Mus musculus: one gene and its partner. The protein of the gene in region 1 purifies or fractionates together with the protein of each later gene. This does not show direct contact. Links are inferred from orthologs where the notes say so. Each region holds a gene or a part of one and is shown on either strand. Other genes may lie near its edges.

Region 1 (4,455 bases):
TCAGCAAAATCTTGCTAGTGTATGCAATGGTGTCAGCGTTTGGAAGCTGATTATGGGATGGATCCCTGGATATGGCAATCACTAGATGGTTCATCCTTTCGTCACAGCTCCAAATTTTGTCTCTGTAACTCCTTCCATGGGTGTTTTGTTCCCAATTCTAAGAAGGGGCAAAGTGTCCACACTTTGGTCTTCGTTCTTCTTGAGTTTCATGTGTTTAGCAAATTGTATCTTATATCTTGGGTATCCTAAGTTTCTGGGCTAATATCCACTTATCAGTGAGTAGATATTGTGTGAGTTCCTTTGTGATTGGGATGTTTTTTAAAATTAAAAAAAAAAAAAACCCACCTGCCCTGGGGAGTCTGATGAACAAGGAGGACCCCAGAAGACAAATGTTCAGTCCACACTAGTCTAGAAATTCCAAAGACAACAAGGGAAAGACAAACTCCACCACAGTTGTGTGAACTACGCCCACTGGGGCAGTGGGACCTGGAGGGCAAAAAGCCCAAAGGCAGGGTGCTGATGGCTTCTGGTTCAAGGCCTTTTTGCTATTATCCAATTGATTTCTATTATGTGCAGCTAATGTCTGGATTAAAAGCACTTCTCCTATCAAGTACAGCCAGCTCCACAGAGTTGTCACTTCCAACTTCCAAGTTCTCACCTGGCATTCTGAACCCTGGGTCTCAGCAACACTGTAAAACTGACACTAGCTTGCCTGAGCTTTTGGAAGTCACTTAACCCTTTACGCAAAGGAAAACGTGGTGGAAAGCACTATCTCCAACAGTCTCGCACGTACACACCATCACAGCCACACTCAGGAGGCCCAGCAAACGTCCCAGTACTTGCACTTTGCCACCCAGACAAAGCCAGATGGGAATCCTTCAACAGCAGCACAGCTGAGGGAAACGTAAAGGGACAGAAAGAGGCCCTGGTTCTGCAAGAGGACTATCTAGAGACCACATTGTAACAGGACAACTCAGCTTGCATGGAACTGAAATACCTAAGGGTGGATGGGAGCATTAATGAGCCATGCTCCCCACTCTATTTCACACACTACTGGACCAGGTGCTCATCCATCAGGTGCCCCCTCAGCTACTGTCCTAAGAAAATCAGTTCCAGGCTACAAAGGTATCACTTCACGTACTAATGAACAACAGTCTCTTTTTTAACATGCCATAATCAAACTTCTAAATGCACATGCCCTTCAATAACTTAGTCTGCAGCCAGGAAACACTGTCTTGTGTGGGTATATATTATATATGTAATATATGAAATAAACCATGTTACCTTCAGCAAGTTACTGAAAGCCTTACTTTTCTCATCTCCCATAATTGCCCCACTGGGTAACAAGAAACTGAAACAACATGTTTAAGTCCATATCAAGCCCCAGCTAGATGGCTCAGCAGGTAAAAGCACTTGTCGTCCAGTCAGATGACATGAGTTTGAGCCCTGGGACCCCCTATTAATAGTGGAAAGACAGCCCACACCTTCAAGGTGTCCTGTGACCTCCACAGAACACATCGTGGTACACACACACCAAAATAAATAAAAGTAACAGCAAAACTCTAACACGCAACGGTAGGCACATGTACTCGTCTCTGTCTGCTGCCAGATATCTCTGTCTCCCTACTTCCATCCTGGCTAAGGCAGGAGAGGAAATACATGTCAATAAAGTCACAATTACGTAAGTTCTTTTAACAACAACAAAAACAACCCTTACAAAAGCACGCCTAGGAGCCGCACTACAAATCGTTATTTTTTCCCAAGCCTTTCTCCCATGCTCCAGGCGTAACTCAGATGCCATTTCAATTCTGCTAGACTAAATTCAGCTAATTCAACTAGACTATAAGGAAGGTTAAATTAGGATGTTAGGAAAACACAGTTCTTTAGTTAAAGCCGATAAACCTACACATACAACTATGTCTAAACAGTCTGCTAAAAGCAGTTTTCATTCCGAGGCTAAACTCTCTCAACAGACCCTAAGAAACTCTTCTAACAGGCAGAAGGCTCTCTGTGAGCTTGAGGCCAACCTGGTCTACATAGTGGATTCCAAAACAGCCCAGGCTACATAAAGTCCCTGTCTGGAAAGGAAAAACAAAACAAAACAAACAAACAAACAAACAAACAAAAAAACCTCCTCTAATACACACATACGCATACACACGCGCGCGCACACCACACACACACACACACACACTTGGGGGAGGCATACTCGCTCACTAAAAAAGTGACACTTAATGGATATTTAGGGGGAGACCTTTCCAGTTCCAACACTTCACTCTAAAACACCCCGATAAAAAGTGAAGGGACTGCCTTAATGCACAAAAGACGGCAAAAGCTGGGTATCCCTAACTATCAGAGACTTCCTTTTGATGGCTGGCCAGGCCTTCCTTCAAGGGCTGATTTTCAGAATGCACAGAGTTCCAAGCGGAGGGCAGAGTCGGACTCCCCAAACAACGGGCTAAACAGGTAAACGGAACCACCGCCGACGGACCCCAAAGCCAAGTTCTCCTCTCGCTTCAGGGTCTGCAGAGTAGGCAAGTGGCCTGGAACGGCAGCATCAGGTCACACTCAAGGAACCCAAGGCAAACCCCGATGCTTGGGATCCGGTCGGCCCGAAGGTGTGCAGGATGCCACACAACTCAGGGCGCCCGGCTCACCTTGCCCCCCACTCGCTAACCAGAAAGCAAGCGCACGGCGGCGGCGTGGCCTGTGGGCCACCCACAGCAGGCTAAGGAGCGGCCACCCGTGTCCCGAGCGCCGACTCCGAGGCTCCGGAGCTCCGCGGCCTAGAGTGACACGCGCAGGGAGGCTGCAGAGAGGGAGAGAGAGAGAGAGAGCGCGGGCGGCGCAGCGGCAGCACCGCGGGCTCACGAGGCCCCGGGAGCCGCGCCACTCACCAAGCAGCCGGCGCACCTCGTCCTCGCTCAGGTAGAGGCTCACGCTGGGTCCCGCAGGAGCGGCGGCCAGGGCCGGGGACCGCGGGGCGGCGGCGGGCAGCATCGCCAGCAGCAGCAGCAGCAGCGGCGGCGGCGGGGCCCTCAGGCCGCCGCTCCCCGGGACGCCGCCCCGGCCCGCGCGCATGGCCGCCGCCGAGCAGGAGCGTCCGCCGCCCGCCGCGCCGCCGCGCACCCCGGCCCCGAGCGCCTCACAGCCCCGAGCCGGGGGCGGCCGGCCAGCTCATCGCGCCGCCGCTTCAGACCCGCCGCCCGGGAACGGGAGGGGGTGGGGGGGCGAGCTGCGGGCGGAGACGCGCGCGTGCGCGTGCCCGCCGTGCGCGAGGGCGCGCACGCATGTGCCGCCCGACCGAGAGCGCCTGGTTCTGGGGCGCGCGTGCACGGGAGAGCGTCTCAGACCTGAGGTCGGGGTGGGGGCCGCGCGTAGGGGTTGGTATAAATAACATTACGTTGTTTGCCAGGCTGAAACGCGCGAGGAATAAAGGAAATGAGTTAAAGAGACACAAACTAATCAAAAACAATAATGAAGTGCCCTGGCCAGGCGAAGGGCTCTAGGCTAATATAGCCAGTCCCCAGCCCAAGTCGTTGAGGCCTAGAGTCGGTTGGTCTCTTTATTCTTCCCCAGGTGCGCCCTGAGTCTTGGATGCTGTCTCAAAAGAAAAGAATGCTGTTTTATTTAGTGAGAAGGGACGGGTACGTAGAAATCTTCCCTTATCCCACCATCAGAGGTCAGCCTCTAGTTAGCATGTCTGTTCCCTAAAATTCACATGCCACACACTTTCCAGAAAGCAAAAACAAAAACAAAAAAAACTCATAAAACCTTAGTAAACTTTTTATTTTGTATTTTGGTTTACAGTTTGTTTGTTTGTTTGTTTGTTTTGAGACAGGGTCTCACTATGTAGCCCTGGCCCGCATGGAACTTGCTATGTAGACCAAGCTGGCCTTGAACTCACAGAGATCTGCCTGCCTCTGCTTCCCAAGTGCCAGGATTAAAGGCCTGTGCCACCCATGCCCAGCAAGCTTATTTTTACATGTGACGAACTTTTATTATCCTAGTTCTCCTTTACTGTAAATCAACCTGTATCTGGGCTTTTAACCTGTGGTCCATGCCAGCCCCCCCCTCCAAAACATGGAATGTATGTGAGTGTGTGCTTATGGCTGTACATGGCTGTCTGTGTGCATGGGTGCTTTCACATACTGGAGAGTGGTTTTTACATTTCATCCCTTGCTCTAGGAAGCCCTTGTCTCCCTAAACCGGTTAAGGATCTCTGATACATCCCAGAGACTCTGATGAAGAATTTGGGGAAGCCCCAGTCAAGCTTACTCCACAAGCCATCACTCAGGCTGGCTCCCAAGCATCCCTTCTCACTTCCTCCAGAACAGGGTCATCCCATCCCTGTGACCCGTTCACTGACCTTATGCCTCCCTCCTTGCCTGTGGAGAGCAGCTGCTTTCTGCCCGGCCTAGCTTCAAGCTCCCAGTTGCCCATCCACACGCAGGC
Region 2 (3,628 bases), on another chromosome or scaffold:
TTCTTTGACGATTCCAATGACACACTGAGACAACTTTCAGTGACTGCTTTTATAAATGGCCCATGTGATTTTGGTTTGGATCTTTGTTAGGTTTTGTTCTGCTTTGCTTTTCCATTTGTTTTCTTCTTTTTCAAAGGACCGGCTCTGAGCTGGGGAAAGCTGGTCAGCTGCTGCCACCGTGTGGCCAGGTGGAAGAACACTTGGGTCTACCTAAGCTTTTAGTGGGTTGTGTTTTCAGGGAAAGTGGCTTCCATTAAATTCAGCTGGTGAGCCAAAAACTGTGGGTCTATTATTACACGGCAACTTTCAAGATTCACACACATAAAATACAGTAGGAAGAGCTATGGAGAGTGAGATTTCGCAGACTTCAGCTAGCCGATACTCTTCAGTTCTTACACACAATGGCAGGCATCTGAGCCAACCCTACAGTGTGCCTCTGCAGGCTGGGTTAGCAAACCTCAACAGCGCTGGAGATATCCAGTCTATCTGGTGTTCCTTTTCATTTCAAACATAGCTCGTCTACTGGAAAGATATGTCGCCTCTGGATCACTACACCCCTAACTTCTCCCTAGACCTTGCTCAGTACAAGCACTTCAGTGACAGCAACATGTGGAAACGAATTGGGCCGAGCACTGGTAAACCTCCCTGGTGCTTACTATGCATGCTATTTTGCCTGTCTTTTTCAGCTGATGGAAACACCATCTGCAGGCTTACTGTAACCCTGCAGACGTCTTCACCTTTCTGACACTCGAGTACTCAGATCCAGGCAATCCCACGACCCTCCTCACACATCTAGCATGTACAAGCTCTCTGGCTCCAGTCCTCAGCGAAAACCCCGTGACTCACCAACACTTCTTACTTTCAGGCATCCCAACTTACACTCCACACTAATGCCACACTGTCCTAACAAGACCCTCTCAGCACCCACTTCCTGAGTTAAAGCTCGCTGTCCGGCAGCTATTCACACTTTAACGTGGCTATCTGTTGTGCAGCTCTGGAAGAGCTGGGTATGAAATGCATAAACACTTAAGAAATTTACAAACTCATGAAGCTTACAAAACTTAGACAACTATAGAGGCCCTTCCCTGAGGTACTATAGGCAATAAGTAGAACTAGCTGTGACCCTTGTCCGAGTCACCCACGGTCCTGCCAGTCAATCTAGCAAATGTACAAGTTCCCCAAGATGGACTTGAATGGAAGCAACCTGCGCTTCTCAGCTAGCTCCTTTATGCAGGGGACACCTCTACCATTCCCTAACCCCAAAGCAGGTTCATGGCAGCAGCTTCAGCAAGTGCCCTCCTCTCACAAGTGGCCCTTCTTTGTACGTGCAATTCCGCACTTTCTGGAGGTCTGAACAATACGTATCCACAGCCAGTTCTGCAAACTCTGAGGCGGGGTGCGCTCAGCTGGGTGCACATCAGGCCTCCAGTGAACCTACTCACAACTGAGAATTCTGCTCATCTAGCACAATCAGTCCATTCACAACTCTTTTTATCGTAACGGGCAGGAAGGAGATGTAACTCCGAACTCATTTTGTCTTTTGTTGAGAGACAAAATTAATTCTTAAGATGAAGATCAATGACACAGGATGTCAAAAAACTTCAAGAAGCTAGTATTTTATAGAGAGCTGATACCTCCTTCTTGCTCTGCACATAACCATGAGACCCTCTCACTCCTTCTGAGCTTGAGAGGCACAGTGGAGACGCTGATGCTCATAGCACTGAGAACCAGTCAGCTTGCAAGTCTTCCCTTTGACCTCTCAAAGGCCACACCAATGTTTCTTGCTGTTGTAAGTTACGACTGTGGTTCAACTAAAGCAAACACAATAGGTAATGAACACCTGCGATACAACAAAGGCTCACACTACCTCAGCATCGGTCGTGGAGGAGCGGGTGGCTCATCTGGATCCTGGCATCTCTTGGCTTTCTTGGTGACTTGTTTATAGATATTTCTAGCAGTGACTCCAACCCACAATACCGTGGCAAGGGTAGAATAATGAAGAATGATCCCAACCTACAAAGAAGATTGGACAATGTATGACGATTAAAAGAACAAATGTTTCCTCGAGTCTGATTAAAATGCAGTAGGAAGGCGACTCCTTCACGTGCTCATGAAGGAATCGAGGTTCTTAACAGAAGATCAATTTATCACTTGGTTCACCTTCTAACTGCCACCTCGAGGAGAAGCAGAGAAGGGGAGGGGAGGGACACACCTGGGCTCTGCCTGAGAGTCGCCATATTTCAGGAAGAAAGTGATGTAACAAGGTAAGGCTTAAGCAGGTAAACTCAGAAGTAAAACACTTTCCCTCAGTTTAGGACTGCACCCATTTCCCTACCCGACTGTGATTTCAGCCAAATCACGCACGATCTCAAGCCCTCAGCTCTGTTATATTGCTTCCCAAGAGTACTTATTGTGATTATTGTAAGGGCCGTGCTGAAGAAAGCCTGTGAACCCTGGATTTCTGTCTCTTCAATTTAATAGTGGGGACTTTACTAACAGACAGCGCTGGCGTTCTGTGGAATCTGAATAGGCGTAAACTCATGGGCACACTAGGCACCTGACGGTGTAGCTGCCCACATAACGCAGACTGGACTCTATGCTTGTGATGACAGGAGGTATGCTGATCACATGATCCCTCTGGCTGGGGTGGCAATTCTGTATGATGTTGAAAGGGAACACAAGCAGCTTGAACGTTTTTTGTTTGTTTGTTTGTTTGTTTTAAGAAAATAAACAGTATACATCAGCAGAGGAAGGACACAATCTAGAATCTTGTTTCTTTTATGGGATGGGGCAGAAGGTCAGACTGAGACGGAATCTGTAGCCTAGGGTGGCCTGTAACTCACTGTGTAACCCAGATTGACTCTGAACTTGCAGTCATCCTTCTGCATCAGCTTACAAAGTGCTAGATTTATAAGTATGACATATCATGGCCAGCTTTCTAAACTAATGACTTGCTACTTTTTCCAACAGTTGTTATCTTGTGTCTTTGCTTATTTGGGGAACAGAATCTCAAGGTCTCCTGGCTGACTTTAATGTCACCATGCAGTGGATGAAGACTGTACTCCTTCTATAAGACCCTCCACCCCCTAGGTACTGAAGTGCAGGGCACTCCATTGAGCATGGCTTTACATGGAGCTGAGGAGTGAGTCCTGGATCAGTACCTTTTCCTCACAATTATTACAGGTAAAAGTCTAGAAATGAAAAGCACCAAGAAAAACTATTCATTAAGGGGGTAGCGCTCCAACCTTCAGGAAACTCCTGCTGACATCTCCAAACCCAGGTTGGCAACAAAAGAACAAGAGCCAGCCTGCAGCTAAAGCCTAGAGGCAAAAGAGCCCAAGTGACTCTGAGCCAGGACAGTAGCCACCCAGAATAAACCATGCAGACTCTGGAAGTGCCAGGACAGTGGGTCCCACTTATCTCAATAGGACACTCAGAAGTCACCATCTCCTAGGGACAGAAGTGGCTCCTTGGTTCACAGCAGTTTTACTGACTTGCAAGGAAAGAAAGGTTCATAGAGAAAAACATCACGGCCCTTTTTGCCATCTGAATCATCCTCAGAGCTTTAAGCAAAAGGAGCCCGTGCAAATTTGTTGTATAGAAATCAGTAAATTTATATAAGTGGAGT

What was found. The genes of interacting proteins can lie anywhere in the genome.
Region 2: the proteins of Ryk (region 1) and Adgra3 purify together in Homo sapiens (affinity purification with mass spectrometry; 3 studies listed by BioGRID and IntAct, with this or other methods). This does not show direct contact. The link is inferred for Mus musculus from reciprocal best matches to the Homo sapiens genes RYK and ADGRA3.

Annotation. Positions count from the first base shown.
Region 1 is NC_000075.6:102,833,682-102,838,136, reverse strand, and holds the start of Ryk (tyrosine-protein kinase RYK isoform 1 precursor), read right to left. Parts: upstream 3,218-4,455; 5' UTR 3,082-3,217; coding exon 2,898-3,081; intron 1-2,897. UniProt on the Homo sapiens protein: May be a coreceptor along with FZD8 of Wnt proteins, such as WNT1, WNT3, WNT3A and WNT5A. Involved in neuron differentiation, axon guidance, corpus callosum establishment and neurite outgrowth.
Region 2 is NC_000071.6:49,961,824-49,965,451, forward strand, and holds part of Adgra3 (adhesion G protein-coupled receptor A3 precursor), read right to left. Parts: intron 2,014-3,628; coding exon 1,868-2,013; intron 1-1,867. UniProt on the Homo sapiens protein: Orphan receptor that may have a role in planar cell polarity pathway.